Linked DNA regions of Cricetulus griseus. The protein of the gene in region 3 interacts with the protein of the main gene of each other region in a biochemical or structural test. Links are inferred from orthologs where the notes say so. Each region holds a gene or a part of one and is shown on either strand. Other genes may lie near its edges. The genes, in order: Pth1r, Slc9a3, Slc9a3r2, Tbc1d10a, Pdgfrb and Sgk1.

Evidence for each region.
Region 1: the proteins of Slc9a3r2 (region 3) and Pth1r interact in a test that uses a peptide from one of them, tested with the Homo sapiens proteins (2 studies listed by BioGRID and IntAct, with this or other methods). The link is inferred for Cricetulus griseus from reciprocal best matches to the Homo sapiens genes NHERF2 and PTH1R.
Region 2: the proteins of Slc9a3r2 (region 3) and Slc9a3 form a complex in vitro, tested with the Homo sapiens proteins (2 studies listed by BioGRID and IntAct, with this or other methods). The link is inferred for Cricetulus griseus from reciprocal best matches to the Homo sapiens genes NHERF2 and SLC9A3.
Region 4: the proteins of Slc9a3r2 (region 3) and Tbc1d10a form a complex in vitro, tested with the Homo sapiens proteins (2 studies listed by IntAct, with this or other methods). The link is inferred for Cricetulus griseus from reciprocal best matches to the Homo sapiens genes NHERF2 and TBC1D10A.
Region 5: the proteins of Slc9a3r2 (region 3) and Pdgfrb form a complex in vitro, tested with the Homo sapiens proteins (2 studies listed by BioGRID and IntAct, with this or other methods). The link is inferred for Cricetulus griseus from reciprocal best matches to the Homo sapiens genes NHERF2 and PDGFRB.
Region 6: the proteins of Slc9a3r2 (region 3) and Sgk1 form a complex in vitro, tested with the Homo sapiens proteins (2 studies listed by BioGRID, with this or other methods). The link is inferred for Cricetulus griseus from reciprocal best matches to the Homo sapiens genes NHERF2 and SGK1.

What each region holds. Positions count from the first base shown.
Region 1 is NC_048597.1:218,233,628-218,237,675, reverse strand, and holds the start of Pth1r (parathyroid hormone/parathyroid hormone-related peptide receptor), read left to right. Parts: upstream 1-1,248; coding exon 1,249-1,323; intron 1,324-1,493; exon of another isoform or gene 1,494-1,723; intron 1,724-4,048.
Region 2 is NC_048595.1:368,807,008-368,810,507, reverse strand, and holds part of Slc9a3 (sodium/hydrogen exchanger 3), read right to left. Parts: intron 2,974-3,500; coding exon 2,671-2,973; intron 569-2,670; coding exon 408-568; intron 1-407. UniProt on the Homo sapiens protein: Plasma membrane Na(+)/H(+) antiporter. Exchanges intracellular H(+) ions for extracellular Na(+) in 1:1 stoichiometry, playing a key role in salt and fluid absorption and pH homeostasis.
Region 3 is NC_048600.1:44,234,673-44,238,626, forward strand, and holds the start of Slc9a3r2 (Na(+)/H(+) exchange regulatory cofactor NHE-RF2), read right to left. Parts: upstream 2,801-3,954; 5' UTR 2,618-2,800; coding exon 2,405-2,617; intron 161-2,404; coding exon 1-160.
Region 4 is NW_023276807.1:100,701,843-100,706,078, forward strand, and holds the start of Tbc1d10a (TBC1 domain family member 10A), read right to left. Parts: upstream 2,801-4,236; 5' UTR 2,723-2,800; coding exon 2,514-2,722; intron 1-2,513.
Region 5 is NC_048595.1:178,029,831-178,033,330, forward strand, and holds part of Pdgfrb (platelet-derived growth factor receptor beta), read right to left. Parts: intron 3,010-3,500; coding exon 2,915-3,009; intron 2,121-2,914; coding exon 1,988-2,120; intron 1,510-1,987; coding exon 1,405-1,509; intron 1,082-1,404; coding exon 971-1,081; intron 1-970. UniProt on the Homo sapiens protein: Tyrosine-protein kinase that acts as a cell-surface receptor for homodimeric PDGFB and PDGFD and for heterodimers formed by PDGFA and PDGFB, and plays an essential role in the regulation of embryonic development, cell proliferation, survival, differentiation, chemotaxis and migration.
Region 6 is NC_048595.1:267,814,325-267,818,523, forward strand, and holds the start of Sgk1 (serine/threonine-protein kinase Sgk1), read right to left. Parts: upstream 2,801-4,199; 5' UTR 2,726-2,800; coding exon 2,608-2,725; intron 2,118-2,607; exon of another isoform or gene 2,043-2,117; coding exon of another isoform or gene 1,967-2,042; intron 1,819-1,966; coding exon 1,743-1,818; intron 1,314-1,742; coding exon 1,238-1,313; intron 977-1,237; coding exon 872-976; intron 761-871; coding exon 677-760; intron 578-676; coding exon 446-577; intron 245-445; coding exon 132-244; intron 1-131. UniProt on the Homo sapiens protein: Serine/threonine-protein kinase which is involved in the regulation of a wide variety of ion channels, membrane transporters, cellular enzymes, transcription factors, neuronal excitability, cell growth, proliferation, survival, migration and apoptosis.

The DNA.
Region 1 (4,048 bases), on a different chromosome or scaffold from region 3:
GCCGGGCAGCCAGGGGGGATCCCGAGAGTCCATGAAGTCCCCCCGGGGCGCGGGCGCTGGCTTGGGGGCTGTCGGGGGGCCCCGACATTCATGGCCAGGCGGGGGGCCGCGGCGGCGTGCTCCGAGTAAGTCGGGGTTTGGGGGGGTCGGGCGCGTGGGGGCGCCGGACGGGCCGCAGGGACTCGGGGCCCGGCCAGGGCGGGCCCGGCCCGGCCGCTCGGTCTCGGTGTCAGTCTGCGGCGCCTCCTCGGAGCCCGCGGCCGCTCAGTCGGTGGCTTTTTTGGAAACTCGCAAATGTTTTCGTAGAGGAGGGGAGGGGGAAGCGAGGGAGTGACCGAAACCGAGCTTGGGGCGGCTGGAACGGCAGAGGCCAAGGCCGGGGAGGAGGGGGGTGTCGGGGGCGGGGGGCGCTAGCCAGAGACGGACGGACAAGCAGACAGGCTGCCCCCACGTCGGGGCCGCAGAGCAAGCGCTCGTGCCGCTCGGGCGCACGCGGCGCGGGTTCGGAGGACGGGACTTGGGGCGCAGGCAGGAGGTGCCTGCCCAGGGCCTGGGGGGGTCCAGACCGGGCTGGGGAGCCGGGCCGCAGTGCCGCCGGGGAGCCCCGAGCTGGGGACAGGAACACCGAAGGGCTCAGCGCCGTTGCAAAAGTCGGGATGGCATCCCGGAGTTGCACGCCCCGCGCAACTCAGAACGCGCCCCCTGCCCCGCCCCGCCCCAGCTCCCCTGTTGCCCACTGCCGCGGAGCTAAAAATAACAGCCTGGTCGCCCCCCGCAGACCGCGACCCCGACCCCTCCCCCGCCCCTCCCACTGGGCGTGGAGCGAAGCCACGGCTCCCAGTTCCCCAAAAGAGGGGGGAAAAAGACAGAGAGAAAGAAAGAAAAGGCGGCGCGGGAGGGGAGCGGGGGGCGGGCCGGGGGCGGGGGGCCCAGCCATATGGATGTGATTTCTCCGCTCCGAGGCAGACAGGCCGCTCAGCAGCGCTCGGCGCCCGCCCGCCGCCCGCCCGGCCTTAGGCTGCCTCCCTCCCTCCGCCCTCCCTCTCTCCATTGCGCCGGTTGGTTCTCTCGCTCGCCCTCGGCGTATGGGCCCCGCACCGGGCTCCGGGGCCTCGGGCCGCCCGGACGCCGGGGTCCCCTAGGACGGGGTGTGGGCGGGGCGGCCCGGCCTGACACAGCTCTGCACCTTCCAACCATCACCAGGGCCGGCGGCGGCTGCCCCGAGGGACGCGGCCCTAGGCGGTGGCGATGGGGGCCGCCCGGATCGCACCCGGCCTGGCGCTCCTGCTCTGCTGCCCAGTGCTCAGCTCCGCATATGCGCTGGTAAGTCCCTCTCGGTCTACACTCAAACACAGGAATCCTGGAGTTGCTCTGGGATCCCTGGGGAGAGTGTAGGCGCAAAGTCGTGGGTTCTCCTAATAGTCTGAACTTTGGGATGCTGCCCCTGCTCTGAACCAGGAATCCTGGTGCCTGCTCTCGTTGGGGTGTCTTACCGTAGGTTCCAGATGTCTGAAGTTTCCCCGCTTCTGAAGACTTGGCTTGGGGTCCTGGGTCTGGAAATCTGTGGTTGGAGTTTCCCTACGCCGTGCTTCTGTGAGCACACGGCTCTGGTCGTATGTATCTCTTTCGATGGTGACAGTGTGATCCAGAGGGCTCTGGGTGTGGAGTCCCACAGACTGCGTTGGGGGCCTCTGCTTTCGCAAGTTTTGTTTGCACCCCGTGCTCAAAGCTGTGTGCAAGAAGTCAGAAAAATCACATAGACTGAGGATAGGGTTTAGAACCCCCTCCAACTCTGGGGATCCCACAAATAGACAGATTATGCGCTAATGGGACAGCTTTACCCCAAGTAGAAGTCGTTTGCCCAGGGAGGTGGGTGTGGTGTGGTATGGAAGTCCCCTGAAAGACCTCCCCCCCAGTACACCTGTGAGATACGTGCTGGAGAGTGGGCTGATCTTTGGGGATACTGTGCATGGCCTCGGAATGGAGACCAAGAGATAGAAAAGAGGGCTAGAGAGAGACAGACAAAGGGTAAGGATGAGAGCTCTCGACTCCAGCAGGGACAGACTCAGAACAGCAAAGACAAATAGATGAGGGCTGGAGACACTGAGGGAGATCATGACCCGTCTTGGGCTAGGGTCTGGGAGCCATTTCTCTGAGAGGGGAGATTTTCCATCCTCTCATATTCGCAGCAGTCCTACCAAAGTATCCAGCCCATTCCTGAATCAGCTTTTGTGCCTGACTTTAAGGTCTTGTTGCCCCCTTACCCCAACCCTGATCCAGCTCTAGAAAGACAGGGCAAGCAGCTTCCTCCACAGAACAGAGCCTTGAATCCGAGGACACAAGAGCTCTGGGACCCCTCCAGCTCAGCCTACAGCTTAGTGACCTTGGACTGCCTTTCCCCACACCTCAGTTGCCCATCTGTGAAGAGAGCATGAGAGACGTTTCCTAACATCCTTGTATTTGATGTTCTCCTTCTGTGGTCCCCGGCACTCTATTATCAGGGCCCATACCCTCCCAATTCTAGTCCAGTAATGGATTTCCAAAACCAAAGACTACCCCAGAAAGGAACTTGTACACAGGGAAACAAGTTCAGAGGGCCCAGCTTTGCTGTTCCGGAAGATGCTCCAAGCACGGGCAGCAGAGCTGTTTGCTGAATTTCCCTTGGTGACTTCTGTGTGTGTACACATACGTGTGCATGGTGTAGACTGGCTGATGGATAAGGTGTCCTGAGTGTGTGCCTGTATGGCCATCCGAGTAGGGCTTTGTGGGCATCTGGGTCGGTCTGTGGGATTGTGGGTATTCAAGTCCATATGTGCCTGGAACTGTGGATCTGCACAGGACTCTGAGGGCAAAAGCACAGTTGTTTGCGTATGTACGCGTGCGCATATATGAGTGTGAGTGTGTGCACACAGGCCTTTCTTTACTTGTACTCAACAAATGCTTTTGTGTTTTTTGTTTGCCAGTCCATTGTTCTATACACTTTGCGCAGATCAGCTAGTTTAATCCTACCAGCCACCCTCTGAGAAAGGTATTTTCCCTATTTTTTATTAACTCATCCAGTCCCCTGTGAGCATTATCTATCTTATGTTAACCAGGTTCCAGGCCCTGTGCCTCACTGTGTGTGGCGGTACAGAGCCCCTAGAACTCCTCAAAGCTCTAACTGAAAGCAGAAGGGCAGATGCCTGTGTGGCTCTGCAGGGTCCTTGCTGGGACATATCAGTGCACTGGACCATCTCCTGCTTCAGGTCTAAGGGGTGTAGTCCAGGGGACAGGTTTGGCCAACCCACCCACCCACCACTCTGTGGGATCCCTGGGCTTAGCTGGAGTCAGCAAACACCTGGCAGCCTGCCCATTCTCTCCTCTAAGCCTGGGAGCTGCTTCTGTGTCCAGATGTGTACAGGTGTGGACAAAGCCCATCCACCTCAGCTGTCACCAAACCTACAGACTTACCTACTCAGCTAGATCCAAGCCAGGCTCACTTCTCTGGTGACCTTGGTTGAGGTCCCAAAGAGCGTCCCACTGGGAGAACAATGACCACAGCTGGACTGGGCTGGTTCATCTGTGCCCCACAAAGAAGAGTAGACCAGAGATGAGCATTGAAGGAGTGAAGTTTAAAGGAGGGGATAGGCTCACAGCAGATGAACAGGCAAAAGGAGGCTCTTATCCTTTGCGATTTCTTACCCTAAGAACACCCTAGAGAACCCTCAGCTCACATGAATGTGACGGTCAGCAGGGAAGCAGGCCTGGGTGTGGGGTATGACCCTTGGATAGGAGGGCTCCACAGAGAACTGTAGTCTCTTGGGCAGGTTGTGCAGGCAACCTCTTCCAACCAGCCCAGGGGGGCAGCTCAGAATTTTTTAACATTTAGAGTGTGTGTGCGCGCGCGCGCGCGCGCGTGTGCGTGCGTGCGTGCGTGTGTGTGCGTGTTTACAAGTGCTTGCTGGAGTCAGTTCTCTCCTTCCACTGTGTAGATTCCAGGTATTGAACTTAGGTTTCAGCACTTTACCTGCTAAGTCATCTTGCCAGTTCAAGGTGCTTGCTTTTAAAA
Region 2 (3,500 bases), on a different chromosome or scaffold from region 3:
ATTGGTCTGTTTCTTAGGAGCAGTAGCAAGCGTAGGTCCAAAATTATAGACCACTGGGGGACATGGATATGGGGATTTCAACTGGGCAGCATTACCTCCAAAGGCATGAAATGGGTGGGCCTAAGATTGTAAAAGAGAGAAATTGGATGAATCTGAGTTAGGGAGACAGATAAAGGCCAGAGCCTATTCCCCCCAACTCATACCCCCAGGCCGCTGTGCCAGGGGACAGATGAAGGAAACACCCTGCAGGATGCTGGACATCCCTGGGTTGCAAACATGGCTGTAAAGGGAGACCATGTATAGATAATGAACCTCTATCTAGCTTATCTATCTGAGGCATATTGGCAATGCCCACTTGTCAAGTGAAGTGTTCTACAACTACCCCAGGGACCCCCACCATCACTCACCACAGTCACTGCATCATTCAGCAGTGACTCTCCAAAAACAATTATGAAAAGAACTTCATTGACATGGACTTCCTCAAACACAGCCAGCACAGCCACAGGGTCCACAGCAGCAATGAGGCTACCAAAAAGCAGGAAATCCAGGAGTCCAATCTTCAGCTCACCTGCAAGAGATGTGGACCATGGGACAAGGGCTAGACACTTGGCTCCCTTTGTCCAAATCCCACATCTATCAGGTCCCTAGGAGATCAGAGACATCAGGATTAAAAGCTAGACACAACTCTTCCCAGGGCTACCCAGTGACAAAGAGAATCTCAGAGACTAGAGCTCGCAGCCAGACACCCCAGAATGTGTAAAGCTACAAGTTCCCCATGAAGTGCTTCACTCTCTTTTTTGAGCTGGGGAAGAACTTGCCATCCTTTGGACAAAGGAATGAACCTTGGGAAGTAAGTACCCCCAGATATCTAGTGTGCCCCAGAAAAAGAGTAGAAGTCAAAGAACAGAGTGGTCTCTGTAGTGACTTGAGCCCCATATGTCTGTGATTAATAAATTATGCTGCCTCTAACTAAGACCAGAGTCTTCCTGAGTTTCCATTCAGAAAAGGACCACACACTCAACTGCCACGCTATATATGCCCCGCCCAGCTTTCCAGAGCAAACCAGCTTCTGGTCCAGCCTTGAAATGCCTTAACAGAACCAGCCTCTTGTTCTAGAATCTTGACAGAACCAGAATACACTCCAAAAACAAGCTGGATCCCAGCAGATGTACAGTCCACTGAACCAGGACTGCCCCCCCCAACTTGGAAAGTGCGCCCACATTTGCCTTAGGCCTAGAACTGATGACCTGCAGGATAGCTGGCCTAGCCTGACTCTCCCAGTAAGGGTGAGTGAACCCTGGCCTTGAGCTGCTGACTTCAGGGACTCACCACTGCCTAGGCAATCCTGGGTAAACCATCAGCCAGAGTCACAGAGAAAAGGGAGCTCATGGGACAAGTACGATCTTTCTGGTCTGCTTTGACCAGCAAGGTTCCAAAGGTGGACACAGGATGCCAGCCTGTGTCTATCATGGGAGAGTCTGCAGGCAGTGATACACAACAATAATGGTTATTAAAAGACACTGTGGTGTAACAATTCTTCATGGCTATGGCATGGTAGGAAAATGGGCCTGGGTGTCCCCAGAGATTAAAATACTCTAGATTTGGGCAAATGTAAGCACATTTGCCAAGTCTCAGCTAGCTTAAAGACCTGTGCTTACACCATAAGTCAGTTTGTTAGCGGATTCTCCATGCACCCTAAAAACAGCTCCAGGAACATCACATGCTGGGATCTTATGGGTGACAAGGCTGTAAAGTGAGGACCAGCATGACCCTTGAAGGGTTATGGGTATTAGATTCCAGAAGTCCCCACTCTGTATCCCAAGGCGTCTCTCCAGGGCCAGAGGGAGACAGCCATCTTAGATGTGTCCCATTGCCTTATGGCATCACCAGTATGACCAGTAGTACCAACTCCAGAGCAGGATGCCTAGAGTCTTATTAGCCAGGCAGGTCCTTACCATTGTGGTCTCTAATGATACTGGACAGCAGGGACCCCAGGAACTCCCTAAAATGATAAGGTCCCAAGCAATTGATAGTTCCTGGGTTTACTGTTCCCTGTTTCTCCTTGGTCTCTAGGATTTCAAGGGTCTCATTCACTCAGTGAATGTGCCAAAGGGAAAGTCCTGACTCTGAGTCCTCCTGTGAACACCTACTCATGTCTGCTCAGACATCACCTGCTGTCTCCCAGCTAGACAAAGATTTAGCACAGAGGGTGGGGTGTTCCTGGGAGGTAACCAAGGCTAAGTGAAGTAATCACTAGCAGATTTGAGCAGAAACAGCACCAAACCACTCAAGACTTTGGCATGCTCAACTCTGTAATTCACTCATGAGTCTAGGAGCAGTCCACTTTCATCTCTTTCTCCCATGGGGGTTGAACAGCTGGCTCACACCACTCTGCCAACTATGTCAGGAGCAAGAGAGAATAGCTACCTATGCACACTTACCCATCCTGCTGGTCTGTGCGGTCACAAATCTGTTCTGAACACGACACAAAAGCCTTAGCTTGCAGATGTTCCAAGGAAGCTACTTATAGACTGAACCTTCTTACAAATACCAGGCTATTTACTTAAGTAGTCCCCAAAGACACTGCCTGTCACCCTTAGCCCCAACCCTTCTATGTCTGTGATCTACACCTTTACTTTGGCTCACCCAGGGGACAATATATAGACTTACCCATTAGGCCACTGAGGAAGACACCATAGAGGGACAATCCTGTGGTGGCTGCATTCCATATGGTGCCAATGACAGCATATAGCAGAATGGTGCCCAGGTTACCAAAGAAGAGTCGATTGGGCATGAAGTATCCAGCATCCAACACAATGGGGGGTAGCAGGTAGAAGAAGAAGAGCGTGGGTGTGAGTGTGAAGGAGGCAATGTGGTCAGCTGCCCAGACGATGCCACCCAGCACCAGGCCCAGAACGATGAGCAGAGCGCTCTCAGGGACGACACTGGTGACCTTGTGGGACAGATGAAAGACTGTGGGAAGGAAAGAGGATCAGGGAGATCAGGGCCTATACGGGACTACAGTGGCAAAGTGAAGATCTGGAGACAAGGTTCCCCAGAGGAATGGGAGGAGTCACAACAGAAGCCACCCCCCACCCCCACCCCCACCCGTGTGCACCCATGAGATCAGGGTAGTCACTGGTTTCTTGTAAGCTTGAATATCAAGAAGCCAACTAGTTTCCGCCTGGGGTTTTGATGACACTTCCTGCAGAAGTTGCTATCAATGGTTCTCAATCTGTGTGTCACAACCCCCCAAACCATTGGAAAACACAGATATCTATATTACAGTTCATAGCAGTCTCAAAATTATAGTTATGAGGTAGCAACAACAATAATTTCATGGTTGGGGGTCACTACAACATGAGGAACTGTATTAAAGGCTCACAGCCTTAGGAAGGCTGGGGACCACTGTATTAGATGGATCTCTTCTTGGGTACCTGGGATAATGTAAAGCTCTTCTGTCTCCCCAGCTACCCACAGCTGATGGGGGATGAGAGAGC
Region 3 (3,954 bases):
AGTCGTGCTTTGGCTCCCAGGGGTTGTGGGCTGGTGGAAGCCCTCGATGGGCCATCTCCTCAGTGCAGGTCAGTTGCCGCCGGCAGAGTTCCTCATCTGTCTCCTTGTCCACCACAAGCAGCTGAGTGTGCCCCTCCACAGCCTTGATCCTCTGTACCACCTGGAATGGGTGGGTAGCAGGACTAGATCAGCAGCCAACACGCTGGGCAACACATGGATAGGGCACCACTTCGAAAGGGCGCCACTCTTGGCAAAGCACGACTCACAGACAGCAGGCAGGGGTTGGCCTGCCAGGGGTGGGCAGCTGGACTGAGAGGCCTGCGAGCTCCACCCCCCACCCCCAGTTTCCAGTAGCTCCCTCCCTCTTCTCCCTGAGCTAGGGCCCAGGCTGCAAGTACTTCAGGATCCTCTTGTGGCATTGCACCAAGCTCAGGTAAGGACAGGAAGGAGATGCCAGGAGCAGCCAGATGGAAGAGTCAGAAACGATTGAGTTGAGCTTCAGGATTTCAGTCTAGTCTATGCATGTGTGTGTGCATGCTTATCTGTATGTGTGTGCTTTTGTGTGTGTGTGTGTGTCTGTATGTGCATCTATTTTAAAGTCTGTCTTTCCGCCTAGGTGTAGGAGAGGGCTACATGGCCCCAATGTGAGTATTTGGGTTTATTTCTTTCTCTGAGATGCAGTGTGAATCTAACACCCAGAAATCTCTAGAACTCCAATTTGCCTCCAGACCAGGACTAGAAACCCATTCTTGCTGCACCTGCAAAGGGGTGAAGAACTAGAGATTCTACCTAAGGTGCCAGAAATATCAGGTAAGCAGGATCCCACTCCAGCAGGTAAGGCGAACAGTAGCAGATACAACAGTGTAAGAGGTGTGGCTTGACAGCCATCTGTGTATCTGGATGGGTGCCTGTGAAGTGTGGAGAGCATGTGGGCTACCATGGATCATGCAGGATGTTAGTTTGAGTTCAAAGGGAGACATGCCCACCGGACATCTGAAGGGCAGGAAGCATTAACAACTGCACCAAGGCCTGCGGCTGAAGAGACGGAATCCCCATCATTACTTCACTTAGTACATGCTATCCTATCACAGATAGGAAGGTCTGACCCACAGCCACCTTCACCTGGCCCCTCCATGACCATCCTCTCTCCCTGTGACCAATAGAACAGGATCCCAGCACCCTGACACCTTTTGGCATGGGAACGGAGCCAGTCAGTAAAATAGGAGTCATGGTTTTACCTCCTATCTTCCTGAGCAGGAGAAAGGATCGAATGTGGCTCTGCGTGAAAGTCTGTAGGGACTAGCACCCCAGAAACCTGCGATAAACAGGTGGATTCCAGTAACTGCTAGAGGCAGATGACACCAACCCTGCAGGTCTCTACCTTGCCTTGTGGGCCAACCTTTGGGCTCCATCCCAAACTCTTCATCACACAACCAAATCCAGTGGTCACTGTAGGTAGAAAGCAGGTTCCTGAGGGAGACAGGAATTCCCTCATGGCCCAGTGAAGTACCACCCTGCCTTCTCCAGGCTCCAAGACTAACCACACAGGTAGGTCATGGACATGCTGGTACCAGGGATCCAGGCAGAAATGGTGGAAGAAGTCTGGGCCCTAGCCAAGGTCTGAGGTGTGTCTACCCCTCAGCAGGATACAGACACCCAGAGGTAAAACCTGAGGAGAGAACAGCCTTCCTCTGGCTACAGAAGGCAAGAGCTGAACAGTGACCTATACAGGGAGGGCCAGGCAGCCTCTCAGGAGGAGGCTGTTTCTGACACCAAGGAAGTATACTGCCATGGTGCTGACTGCCAGACCCAGACATAAGGGCCCATGAGAGAAGTACACCAGTATATCCAATCATGCAGACAGACAGATGGACGGACACACACATACACACACACACACAGCTGGCATACATGTTTGATGTATCCACCCAACCCTAGACACACATTCCAGCACTGACACTGAATGCTTTCATCCTGGAACAGTTGGGTAGTGTGTTCATATGGATGACCCCAGAGAGACCTGCAAGCACTCACACATTGACAGAAAAGCATCTGTACCACAAGGCCACAAGGTGCCTTAGCCACCTCCTCCCCCTCCATGGCACACAGAGGCCAAAACTAGCAGAAGCAGCCAGGGCCCTGGCCAGAGTAGCCGCAGTGCGGCCCCTCCCTACCAGGATGTCCTCCCTCCCCCGCTAGTGCAGGACTGAGCTTCCTCACCAGGAGGCCAGCTGGCCGGCCACGTCCCACACCTCAACACCGAACCCAGGCAGGCCCCTGTGCGACCCTGGCCGGGTCCCACCATGTGGCACGCAGAAGTGGGGGTTGTTGGCATCTTGGCCAGCGCTGTAGGGACGCGCCCCCAGGAGGGTGCCGGGGGGCGGGGCGCAGCGCAGGGACCCACCTGGTGATGCGTCTCGCCCTCTACGTTGACGCCGTTGACCTCAACCAGGCGGTCCCCGGCGCGCAGCGCGGCCGCCTCGGCTGGGGAGCCTGGCTCCACGCGCCGGATGAACTGGCCACGGCGGCCCTTCTCGCCATGCAGGTGGAAGCCGTAGCCTTGCTCGCCGCGCACCAGGCGACACAGGCGGGGCCGCAGCGACTCCTGCGCGGCCATGGCACCCGCTGCCCCCTGGCTGGCCGCGACTGGCCACGGCTCACACCCCCGCAGGCTGGAGCGCGGAGGCGGCGGAGGCGCGGGCGGGAGAGCAGGCAGCGGCCTCTGTGGCTCCCGCTCAGCTCGCGTCGCCTCGGGCTCCGGCTTCGGCTCTGGCCCTGGCCCCTGCTCCTGCTCCTGCTGCAGCGCGCCGCCCCCGCGCCCGCCCCTTCCCCGCCCTCCTGGCTGCCCCCGCCCTAGCCCAAGCCCCGCTAGCTAGGCCCCTGCCTGGGAGCCCAGACCATGGAGCGAAGATTGCAGGGTCACAACCCCGAGCCCTGGGACTCCTATGTCATCCCATTTTGGCCACCCTCCGAAGCACCTTCGCCCTCTGTTCCAGGAACCACTCATAGACACCTGCATACCCTACATTCCCTACATTGAAGAGGTTCCTGAAATAGGGAGCTTAGAGAAAGGACCCCTACACAGAGACCAGAGGGCAAGAACAGGGGCCGCTGCTCTCCCTCCTCGGAATACACCTCTACGCACCGCACCGGGATTGCTCTGGCCGCTCCCTCTTTGCCCTCTGAATTTAGATCCCCAACACAGAGTGCAACAGGCAAAATACAAATTTAAAGAGACATGCCAGTGACTAGGTGACCCCCTGCCCCTCCCAGGAAGTGTTTGTTCACTAAACATCCTGAACCCATAGTCCCTGCTTTTCGGGAACATGAGTTTATCTGGCAGAGATGCAAGGGTATTTGCTGCCTTCCTCTTGACCTGGTATGATCTCTGCTAAGGATGAACTTTGGCTCCTGAGCTCTAGGTGGTGACCAGCTGTCCCATATTAAACCCCACAGGTCTCCCATCCTCTATCCCCCATAAACTCTTACTTTTACACTTGTGTAAGTTCTCACCTGCGGGACAGCAGTCCCTCAGAGAATCACTTATGCATATTCCTATACAGTTACCCTCAGAACAACCCCGGAGGAAAGAGGCCATTTTACAGATCAGGAAACCGAGGCCTGGCAAAGGGAGGTTCTGAACCTTTTTTGGAGCCTAGTACTGTGAGACTGCACTTTGACCTGCAAGTATATTCTCAGGCACATATGGCAGCTGAGATCCAGGCTCACCTACAGTCTGCTTCTCCCCAGCCCACTGCTCCTCACTTACCTGGTCCCCCTGGATCAGGTATAGCCAGTTCATACAATTCCCCATGTGGATAGGAGATGCAGCCCTAGTTCAGTGTTTGCCTCTCCCTCTCCTCTTTCCGGAGCCCTTAGCTGGAGCTCTCCACCTCCACCCAAGCACCAGGACCGCCTCTGAGCAAAATCATAGGCAGCAGCCCCTTGGGTACC
Region 4 (4,236 bases), on a different chromosome or scaffold from region 3:
AGACAACCTTTGTCCCAGGGTGTCTGAAATGGACCTTTAATCTGGAGACAGTTCCCATCATCTCCATTGCAGGCCATTTGTGCTAATGTTTCACTTCACTTCACTAGCACAGGGACTCCTAGCCCTCAACCACGAGACTAGGCTCAGGGCGGTCACCCTGAAACTTCCCACAACTTCCCTTCTTATGGCCTTGGGCAGGGACTTACTTTTGACTTTTTTAGAACCACAGTATAAACCAAACCAGGAAGATCCAAGCTTTCTGATACCAGAGATCTTGCTAACTGACAAGCTGAGGAAAATGAGGCAGAGAGACACAAGTAGATCTGGAATCTCATTCAGCCTTGGCCTCAGAGACACAGAAGATGTAGAGGGCATCTGCAAAGCCACATCCCAGGTTTGTAGTTGAAGGGTGGAGAAGATAGACATCTGGCTGCCTGGTTGGGGATGAGAGCCAAAGGGAGGTGCTCCCATTGGGCGACTCTTCCCACAAATACCAAAGGTACGCCCTCATTTTTCTCTTCATTTCTCAGACTTTTAGAAGGAGAAAGTAAACTATTTCTTGGACTATTACTTGTGCCAGGCATGGTGCTGGGTGATTTCATGTATCAGATTCTCACTTTTTTTTTCAATAGCATTGGATATAGGCATTAATTTTGCCCTTGAATAATCAGGCTAGGGAATTCAAAATCTGTACAAGGTCACACAGCCAACAAGTATGACCCTTAAGTCTGGTCCTTCCTCACTTTATCACATCAACCTGCATCCTGAAATCTGGTTAAATGCCCAATAAGCATGCTTTAGAATTTTCCAGCAAATCTGAACTGTTACTGCCAAGACCCCACTAATAAAACTGAGAATCCCTTCCTACTCCTGCAAGACCTCACCCCTCCCAGCCCCTGATCCCTGATGACTGTGTTCAAATTGAAACACACCCTTAAATCCTCTCTACATGAAGCTCATACCAAGGAAACTAGGACAAAGTCAGGGTGAAGGGTGAATATGAGGGGTTCTCCTAGTTTTGGACTAGGCTTAGCCTAATGTGAGCAAGTATTGAAGGGATGGTAGAGACAGATCCAGTGGGTGGGAGGAAGCTCCATCTAGGTTAGAAGCCTGGATTTGTAAAATTTTCCTCCTGAGGAGGAGGCCTGGTGAATAAGACACTCTTGGAGTGTGAGTGTGTGTGAGTGTGTGTGTGTGTGTGTGTGTGTGTGTGTGTGTGGGTGTTATGATATTATGGAACCGACATTTATATGGGACAACTTTATGGAGTGTGTTTCTTAAGATAGTCAAGCACTTCTGTAAGTCCCAAGAATAGCTGGGGACACCTTGGGCAGTCACAACTAGTCAGAGGAGAGGGGGATATATTCTGGTGTAAAGGCTCTCCCGGTGACTGCAAGGCTGCCTCTATAAACTGGGAGGCACACTATGGGAGGGAGGCTTGTCAGTTCTCTGTATGGCACTAAGTCTCATATCACAAGACAACTGAATGAAGTAGGATCTAGAGGCCATCTTTCTGAGGGGACCACTAGCTTGGTGGGTGGGACTCACAAGTCTCTGAGAGGACTGACTTCTGGGGGTTCTGTGGGGCAGAAGGTTGCAGCCCAGCAGGCTCATAGTGGAGGGAAGGTGCTACTCCACTGCCTCATGTTTCTCTAATGGCCAGTGGGGTGCCTGGGTGCTCAATGGTGGGGTGTTACATGAGTGGGGCTCCTGATGTCTCCCTCCTACTCCTGCCCTAGATCTGGATATGGAAGTTAGTATGTATACACACAGCAGCCTGGGAGTCTGCTGGCTGGCTCCTGTGGTGATGAAGCTGATAGTGAGTCCTAGAGGTGAGGCATTGTGGCCCTGTAAACTACTAGGAAGGGGGAGTGTCTGCCCACCTGTTGCCTGTGACAATGGACAAAGCTGCCTTTTGGCAGAAGGTGTGTGGGGGGGGTGGGGGTGCTCTCTGACCTTCCCATGACGGAAAGTAAAGTAACTGTTGGTGACAAGATGGGACTGTCTGGGAGGAAGCTGGCCAGTGTCAATGTGTCTACGTATTTGGACAAGGGTTAGTGTGACCTGGAGTGGGGTGGGGCTGGCTGGGAGTCCTGAAGTCGATCTAAGATTTCCTGAGGTGGTGAGACAAGGATTCTGTGGGGTAGGGGAGAGAGATTGAGAACAGCTAAGGGGAAAAAGTATGGGGCAGCCATCTATGCGCATGTCAGGGGGTGGTAAAGTCAATCAGCCTTAAAGGCAAGTGTGACCTGGTGAGTCTAGGGGCTGGTGTTGGTGGTTATCCCGCAGTCGGGAGGGCAATGTGAGTCCCTCGGAAGGGCAGATCATTCGGTCTGGGGGGGTACCAGCATGGGGACCGGGAGGAAGTGGGGTGGCCTGTCTGCCCGACGTAGGTAGGAAGTAGACTGCCGCTTGGGGCGGGTCTGTGGGGATCGGTCAGTGGAGACACGTTGGTGGGTCAGGCCCACGCCTGCGCTGGTCCCGCGCCCGACCCAGACCCCAGCGCTACTCACGCGCCCTCGGCGCCCTGCGAACCCACGATGAAGCCGAACTTGTCGATGCGGCGCTCGGCAAAACCGTTGGCCTCTGAGTCGGAGCCGAGAGAGCTGAGCTCGTCGGTAGTAGCGGCGTCGGGACCTTGGGCCAGGCTCTCCCGGGTCCCCGACAGGCTCCCGCCCGCTGCGGGCGCGCGCGGCCCATTCTCTTTGCTGCTCTTCGCCATCCCGGCCGCGCCCGCCACCAGAGCGCCAGCGGCCACCTCAGCCGCTTCAGCAGCTCGGCCTCCGCCGACGCTGCCGACGCCCCGCCCACGCGCCGCATCCATTGGCTGCCGCAAAACTGGGGGTGGCTCCCCAGGGAGCTCCCACCACGCGCCCAATGGGTACCGAGGGCCCCGCCCCTTCTTCAGGCTGGCGCCAACTGGACCGACGTGAGGGGGCGGGACAACCGTCACCAGGGACCCGCCTTCCCTGGCTGCCAATCACGAAAACTCACCTGGACTAGCTCTTCAGGCTTTTCCGGGTTGGCCCCGGGCTGGCGTGTCACCTGCTGCGGCTTCGGGTGGGGGGTGGGGGCGAGAAGGCCCAGGGCTTCCCCGGAGGTCCTGCCCGCCTCTGCCTCCCTGGGCCGGATCCTTGCGAAACAGGGTCGTGGGTGGGGCTGTTTCGCCTGTTCATTTTGAACAGTGATGAGATGCAAGTGGGTTTAGGGATATGAATCACCTTGCTGCTCTGCTCATGGGCGTTTAAATTAGCTCATGGAAGACCCTATAAAAATAATACTGAGCCAGGTGTGGTGGCGCACGCCTTTAACGTCAGCACTCGGAAGGCAGAGGCAAATGGATCTCTTGAGTTCGAGGACAGCATGATCTACAAAGTGAGTTCTATCCAGAACTGTTACACAGAGAATCCGTTTCAAAACACGGAAACAAACAAAACCTGACCTGAGCTCTACTTTCCTTTGTAATCTTTTTCCTTCCCAACACCTTTTTGGTGAGGGTTGATTTGTATTGTTTTGTGGCCGAGTTTTTAGTCCAGGGTGCTTCCCAGTCTTCCAAATGCTGGGATTACAGTTGTGGACCACCATGCCTGGCTCTCCAGTGGTTTTACTGAGATACAATTAACATACCACAATTTATGTTTAAAGTGTATACTTCCTAGGTTTGAATTCCATCATCCTGTCCACCCACCCACGCATAGATAAAAATTAATGCAACCCTGTAATCTCAGCACTCAGTAGGCCAAAACAGATTATGAGTTTCTGGGCCAACTGGGCTACAAACAATGGCCCTATATCAAATAGTACAATACTATGGTTCTTTAGCATCCTTACTGAGGCAAGCAAACATTACAATCCAATTTTTGAAAAGTTTTATCACCCAAAGAAACTCCTATTCAGTAACAGCAACCACTATTCTACTTTGTGCCTACAAATTTTGCTTTTTCTAGACATTTCAGTTATCTGTGGTTACCAATCGTTTTGTGTGTCCAGTTTTTTGTTTGAGAGGGTCTTATCTTGCTATGTGGTACAGGCTGACCTTAAACTTTTTTTTATTGCTTCTAAGATTTATCTACATTTGAGCACTTACTATTGCTTTATTCTTTTTATGGCTGAATTAAATTTCATTGTGTTGACATACCACATTTATACACTATTCATCAGTGAAAGTTATTTGAATTATTTTTCTTTTTCTGTTAGGAATAATGCTAGTTCAGATAACAGTATTTCACTTTTCTT
Region 5 (3,500 bases), on a different chromosome or scaffold from region 3:
CCTAGGACATCAGTTGCTGCGGCTGTTTTCAGACTCTTGGATTCTGGTCTACATAAAGCAGGTAAACGTGACTGTCAGCACAATTTGCCAGTTACATTTGAGTTCAACGCACTTAAAGCCATCCAACAGATGAAAACAACACTTTTGAAATATGCTCATTGCAGACACGGACAACAGTCTGTGTGCAATGTACTTCTGTATTTAGACCAATTACACAATACCGAGGAAAATCCCAGATCTCACAACAGACAGCTGCAAATGGCAATAACTTCACTATTATTACTACGTCGGCAGCCCAATGGGTAACCAAAACCTCAAATAAACACAGTTGGGCAGTGCGGCTTCCAATACCCATGTGAACAAAACCTGGCTCCTGGTTAGCTCGCTGATGGGCTCAGCTGTCTCTGAGTTGTAGAAGCTGTTACTTTCTCACGGTTTTCAAAGAGTATTGTGAAAATACAAAAATGGAGGTTGGAGAGGCAGCCACCGGTTAAGAGTACTTGTTGCTCTCACGGAAGATGCTGGTTCCATACCTAGCACCTTCACGATGGCTCACAACCATTTGTAACTCCAGTTCCAGAGGATCTGATGCCCTCTTCTGACCTCCTCGGGCACCAGGCACGCACGCACACACATACACATACACACACACACACACACACACATACACACACACACACACACACACACAGGCAAATACCCACTCACATAAAATTTAAGAACCTAAAGAAAAAAAATATGTCTAGAGAGAATTGGGTTTGGAAGCTGCTGGAACTAGTGGCCCGAGGAATCTCTCTGCCACGAAGGTATCATGATTCTGAGCTTCTAAAACTGAGCCCGTCTGGGATGGCGAAGTAAAAGTGCTGGGCAGCAGATGTGTGGACACTCCAGAAAGGGTGTCCTTTGTTGGTGGACTGAGTGAGAACAGAAAAGAAGAGCTCTAGAGTCCCCTGGGGCATAGTTTGTGTACCTCCTTTGGTACAGGCTCCCAGCAGGTTGACAACGTTCAGGTGGGGTCCCAGGTGACTCATGATCTTCAACTCTGACATGAGGGCTTGCTTCTCACTGCTTCGGGCTGTCGCTGAGGAGGGAGAGGGTCTCAGCCTGAGTGGGCCACTGAGGCAGTATAGAGGCCCTACCAGGGCCTACTCTGGCTCCTCTGTCCCTCCCTCTTGTGGGACTAGTGTCCTAGAGTGGTGAAGACCTCATTGGAGCGGGGAGAAGGTGGGAGGAGGGGAGAGAAGGAGGAGGAATCTGAAGAGGTCACAGTGAGGAAGGGGCCTTTCTGTCCCACAAATTCAGGACCAGGCCCTTCAGAAGAAAGCAGATGTACAGGGAAGGGTGAGGCAGAGTGGGGCCCTGGGTGTGAGGAAGGGGTGGGCTGGCTCACATTTCAAGACTCACATTTCAGCATCTTGACGGCTACTTTCATGGTGGCCTGTGAGTGGCTCAGGCCATGAGCCGTGGCCTCCACCACCTGTCCGAAGGCCCCGGAGCCTAGAGTGCGTCCTAGGATGAACAGAAACCCTTAGCTCCCGGGAACTAGAAGCCTCGCCTCATCTTCCCACTCAGAATGGAGGACTATTCTCTCAGGTCATAGTCCACATCCCCCCTACCACCCCACTGTGCTCCCCCTCAGGAAGCTCCCATCCTTTGAGTCTCATCTAGCTCCTGCCTGCTGTCTGCCTTCCTGGAGTCCCTGGAAGACCTCTTGTCTCCTCAGGGAATCACAACTCCTCCACACCTGCCTCAGACTCCCCAGACTATCTCCAGTACTTCCTCTTTGGCCTGGAGGGATCCCATAGATCAGTCTTGGGTTCCTACGGCTTCCATGCTATCAGGGATCATCTTGTCTTCACCATATAGAAAGGATGCTGAAAGCCAGTGAAGGCAAGATATCAGCTCTGGCTGGGACTCAGCTAGTAGCAACCATGCTGGGAACAGATCTCAGGGTCCTCACTGGCACCGAAGACCTCTTAGGACTGACCGAGCACAAGCTGGTCCCGTGGCAGCTCCCAGGTTGAGTCATAAGGCAACTGCACAGGGTCCACGTAGATGTACTCATGACCATCAGAACTCACAGACTCAATCACCTTCCATCGGATCTCATAGCGTGGTTTCTGCAGGACAAGACCATGACCTCAGAGGCAGCTGGCACTAAGGGGCCTCAGCAGGTGGAAGGTGTGGCTGAGAAACTCTGAGGACAAAGCCTCGGGAGAACAGCTGTCAGGGTGGTCCTCACTCACTGGAACTGCTTCATCAGCTTCTCTCTGGCCCCAGTTACTCCTCAGATGGGAAGGGCAGGTTACCCAGGAAATGACAACGTACGGTAGGAAAGATGTCAAATGTGGTGGCCCCTCCCCATGTCGAGTCTGACTCTGTGGGGTCTCAAAGGGAGGTGGCCTTTGGATGTGGAAATCTTAGGATGCAGGAGTCACAGGACTGGAATCTTATAATGACAGGATGAAGGGGTGGGCACTAAAGTCCCAATTCAGAAATTGTAAGCATTTGAAGCTACAGAGTGGGAAAATGTCAGAATAGAACATTGAAACTTTAGATTTGTGGGGTCAGATTGCGTTCCAGTGACTCATGGGAGTCTGTGGATAAGAGCTGGAAGAATCATGGGGCCAGGATAGTCCACCCACAAAGTACCATTTGTCTCACGACTGGGTTGAACAGGAAGGACCTAGGCAGAGGAAAGAACAGGGGCCAGGAGTCCTGGACTACTGGCACCAGGCCCAGGTCAGCCAAGCCTGCTGTGGATGGAGGGAGATGGGGACCCAGTGTTGCTCTAAGTCAGCTCCCAAGTGAGCTCCACGTCGGGCCCTTCAGATATGCCAGATTGTGTGCTCTTCAGTGGAGACCACGAGGAAATATGGGTGCTACTTTGCACCTATAGGCTACAGGTGCTTACCTTCTGCCACAGCATGATAAGGATGATGAGAGAGATGACGGTGAGGACCACCAAGGCCAGGATGGCTGAGATCACCACCACTTTGAAGGGCAGGGCTGAACACAGAGCAAAGAACAGCCATAAGCAAACAGTGACTGGCAGCTGCTCTCCCCATCTCATTGTGGGCATCACAGATCCATTGGACTTGTTCCGCCTACACATAAGCCCTTATTGCCTAGATAGCTGGCCTCAGGGCCCACACTCTGGCCTTACCGGCAAGCCCCAGAGCCTCTCAATGACTCCCTGCTCAGATCTCAGCTGGGCTCAGGCTGGCCTCTGCATCATCCTGCCAGGCTATGAAAACCCTCTTCTTGTTCCTGAGCATTGCCCGTGCCTCTCACAGCATTCAGCACCCTGAGGACCAGGCCATGCCCTCCTCTCTTCCAAGCCCTGTTGGGCTGTTATGCCTGGGTCATAGATTTAAGTGCCATGTCTAACAAAATGGCCGAGGCACTCACTGGGTGGCTGCCCAAAGGAGCTGACTCTGATCTTCAGTGGCCTAATGAATCCACATCAGAAAGGCTTCTGTTCCTCCAGCCTGACCTTG
Region 6 (4,199 bases), on a different chromosome or scaffold from region 3:
CCTCTTGGCTGGCTCACATGCTAGGGAAGTTTTAGAAGTGACCGAATTGTACATAATCACATATTTTAAGACTCCAAAGGCTCCGCCAGGCCTCCCTCCTTCCCAGCCAGGTTGCTTTGCCTCCGACTTACCTATAAACTATGTTCAAGGAGTGCAGATAGCCCAAGGCACTTGCTATTTCAGCAGCATAGAAGCGAGCCCGTGGTTCTAGGAAGCAGCGTTCCCTCTGGAGATGGTAGAACAGCTGCAAGAGACAAAACAAAGCAAGGCTGAGTGGGGCCATTTAATCAAGTCTGACACATAAGCCTGAAGAGAAAGACTGCAGAAAGTGGCTTGAAATAGATTAATAATAAATTGATAAGTTCAAGAAAATGTTGATTCCTTGAACCAAGCAAGCTGAGCAGAGAAACCCCACCACCTCTAGAGGTCTATTCCCCCAGCTCACCTCTCCACCGTTAATGTAGTCAAGGACAAAGTACAGTTTGTCGGCAGTCTGGAAAGAGAAGTGGAGGCCCACCAGGAAAGGGTGCTTCACATTCTTCAGCAGAACGTTCCGCTCTGACATGATATGCTTCTCCTAGGAAAAAGGTGACATTCAGTACCAAATTCAGACTTCAGCCTGGCACCAAATAACAGGGTAAAGATAATCACTAAGGCCATCAGGTGTCACTCCTACCTCCTTCTTTTTCAGGATAGCCTTCTTCTGTAAAACTTTGACCGCATAGAATGCTTCTTCTGCCTTGTGTCTGGCTAGAAGAACCTGAAATGTCAATCAAACAAGTCAAATTTTTTTTCTATCCTCATCCAGGGAGAATGTGCAAATGAATGCACAAAAGAGCATAGTTTTAAAGCTGTCATATTTGAAAATTACCTTTCCAAAACTGCCCTTTCCAATCACTTTCAAGAAATGGAAGTCAGATGGTTTAGCATGAGGATTGGAGGACGGACCAAGGTTGATTTGTTGAGAAGGACTTGGCTAGAAAACAAAAACATCGCCCTTTAATATCTATGATAATATCTGTGAGTACGTAAAAGCTGCACACAGCCAACTGGTAGCAGATACAAGTTTATGAAATATGCCTTTCAAAACATTCCAGTGACTCAATACTTAAACACTTATGCCACTTGTTATGTTTTGAAGACATTCCTACCTTCACAATAAATAATTTTTTCAAATGATGTCTTAACTGACCACTACAGATTCATTTACCATTTCCCTCCAGAAAAGAGTACTTACCGGAGGAGAGGGGTTGGCGTTCATAAGCTCGGGCTCCTGAGGTTGGGAGATTTTCAAAATGGACTGAACTTCAGGGCTGCGGGGATTAAAGGACCGGTTTAGAAACTCTTAACTCGCCACCAGAGGGCACACCGACATAAGCTCAATTTCTGACTCAACCGTTCACCGTTTAAACCGAAAACATCTGAATGAATTACTTACAAAAACGTAGGTTAAGAAAATAACCCGGTTAAATATACAAATTGAGGTTGGTCCATCGAGAGAGGACGTGAAATTTGATAAACATGCACGCGAATTAATCTTACATCTCCAGGGCAGGTTCGACCCATAAATTAATATTAATGTTTAGAATTATTTCAGATAAGCTAAATGCTCAAGACCAAGAGATCTCTACCCCAGAGAAAATACTTCGGCTTCCCCCGATGAACAAAGTGGTAATAGTATGTCTTAGCGGCTGCTAAACTTAAACGATTCTTTTTATTTTCTTTAATTACCCCAAACTTACTGTTTGCATGCATAGGAGTTGTTGGCGATCTTCTGAATAAAGTCGTTCAGGCCCATCCTTCTCTGCTTCATGAAAGCTGTGAATTAAAAAGAGAGGAAAAAGAAAAGGTTTAGGCGGCTCCGTAACGTCCGACGCCACACGCTAATCTGATCCCGAACCTTCAAAACCCTCCAGCCTTTCACGTCGTCTCTCCTATTCAAGTCCGGTGCTTTTCCAGCACTCACCGATGAGAATCGCTACCATTCCCCTCATTCTGGAGTAAGTGAGGGTGCTTCGAGCAGCCTCGGTTTTCACAGTCATCGCCCCGAAAAGACCAGAGACAAGACGGAGCAGTGAAACCGGCTTAGCCAACAGCGCACCCCGGCCGCGCGGCAGCCTTTATATGCTCTGCGCCGCCGCGGGGGCGGGGCCGGCGGAACAATGATGAGGAAGCGGAGCTCCGGGCTCCGCCCACCTCGAGGCCCCGCCCCCGGCCGCCACTGCGACTGCTGACCGGGACCCGGGCGGATGCGGGTGGCTGGCCGCCTGATCCTGGGTGAGCTGTGCTGACCGCCCCGGCAGGGCCGAGGGTTCAAGGGCTGTGCGAGCAGGACCCGGGCTCAGGGGGACACTCGGCCTCCGTCCGCCCGGGCAGAAGGAGGGGACTGGAGGGGTGGAGAGCCCCGGTGATTTTCCATTTCCTCTCCTGCACTGCCCGAGCGGAGCGCCGCTCAGCACCGACCTCTCCCCTCCTCGCTCTCCCGACCCGGTGCCCGGCTCGCATCCGCCGGGTCCTGTGCGGCGCCGTCCTCCCGTCTCCATCCGACCTCCACCCACCCATACCCCTCCGGAGCCGAGTCCCCGCGGGCCGGGCGGCGGTGCTTACCCAGTCCGCTCAGCAGGACCGACTCGCTCCTTTTCTGCGCCTCCGCCCGCTTTTTGTGGCGGGGCCGGAGCAGGGACTCGAGCCGAGCCCGCGCTAGCGCACCCTGCATCTCCCCCATGGCCGCGGACTGAGGGGCGCGCAGCGGGCGACAACGACCGGCGAACACTGACGTTTCCTTGAAGGAGCCGCCGTGACTCAGGCCGGCAAGATTTCCTGCCCCAGTCCCAAAACAAACAAATGTCCCTTGTGCACGGCCGAGTCGCTTCCGAAAACGCCTTTTTTGTGCTTTTGGCCAAAACCAAGCAAGGCTGAAAAATCCCAGAACTTGGAAGAGGAGGAAGGAAGGAAGGAAAGAGCGGGGGGAGGGGGGTCAGGAATGTGTAGGGGAGGGGGCGGAAATAAGTCTCTGCACTACAAGAAAAAAAAGTACAATCTTCATTTCACTTTTTTTTTCAACTAATCTCCGAGAACATTCTGTCCGTTCCGCATATAATTTTTGTGCCTTGCAAATTTTAATCCTAGCCATGCCAAGAACACGTGAGGAGGTGTTAAGTTAGGGGGAGCAGGGGCTTCGCTCTGGGAGCCGACCTGGAGTGACCCTTGCGACGTCGATTCCCCTGCCAGGGGACCTGCTGCTCTCTCACAAGAAAATGCAAAATTGCGTTGCATCGCCTTAAGCTCCGTTCGTTATTCCGCATCTTCCCTACTCTCCTTTGAGTTACCTCACAGCGGGCCCAAGTAGTCTTAATTTTCTAACCTTGCTTTTTCTTGCAAGTTCACATATAACTGAAACTCGTTAACTCTTTAAAGGTTAAGAGACTCGTTTCAGAAAACTAGGAACAGAGGAAAGCTGCAGGAGGTAGCCTGAGCTGGCTAGAGGAGTGAGGTACCTTGCAGTAACCCCGCCGCTGGGGGATGCCTGGCGCTATAGCCTGACCGCCAACGCGGCGACCCGCGCCAGCGCTGGCTAGGAAGCCGGGAGCACCGGTCTGGACCAGGGGCGGGAACGTGGCTACAAGTAAGCAAGACTCTCAGAGCCAGTACCTGGCGCTGGCTGGTGCTGTCTGCGGTGACTGCCCTGCCATGACCCCTCGCTGAGAAGGGCCCAACATTTTAGAGCTGACACACTCCAAAATACCAGTTGTCAAGCCAGGAAAAGCATGCGAAGCTCTTTTCCCTCCGTATTGGGCAGGAGTTTGTTTTACAGCCACAGCCACCTCACATGCCCTAATGTGATCTCTAGTCTCAGCTGCTGCTTGATTTCCTCACTTTCAGACAGCCAGAGACCCGTTGAAGGGGACGCACATCCCCTCTTTGAAGACAAGATTTTGCTTTGTGGACACTCTTCAAAACGCACTTAGGGTGCCTGAAATTGGCACTCCAACCTAAAACAAGGTGTATAGGCAACTCCAAATCACAGCAGTTAGCCCATGCTGCTTTGTCCGTGCTTGAATTCTGCACAAACTGTGAATTTGTTATTGCCTGTGAGTGCCTCCAAAAACCACGTGGCAGCAGTCATTTATTTAGACTAGTCCTGCTGCACCCCATCCTGTACCCCCTCCTTCCTGGTTCCTTCCCCTCTGAAAAAAAAA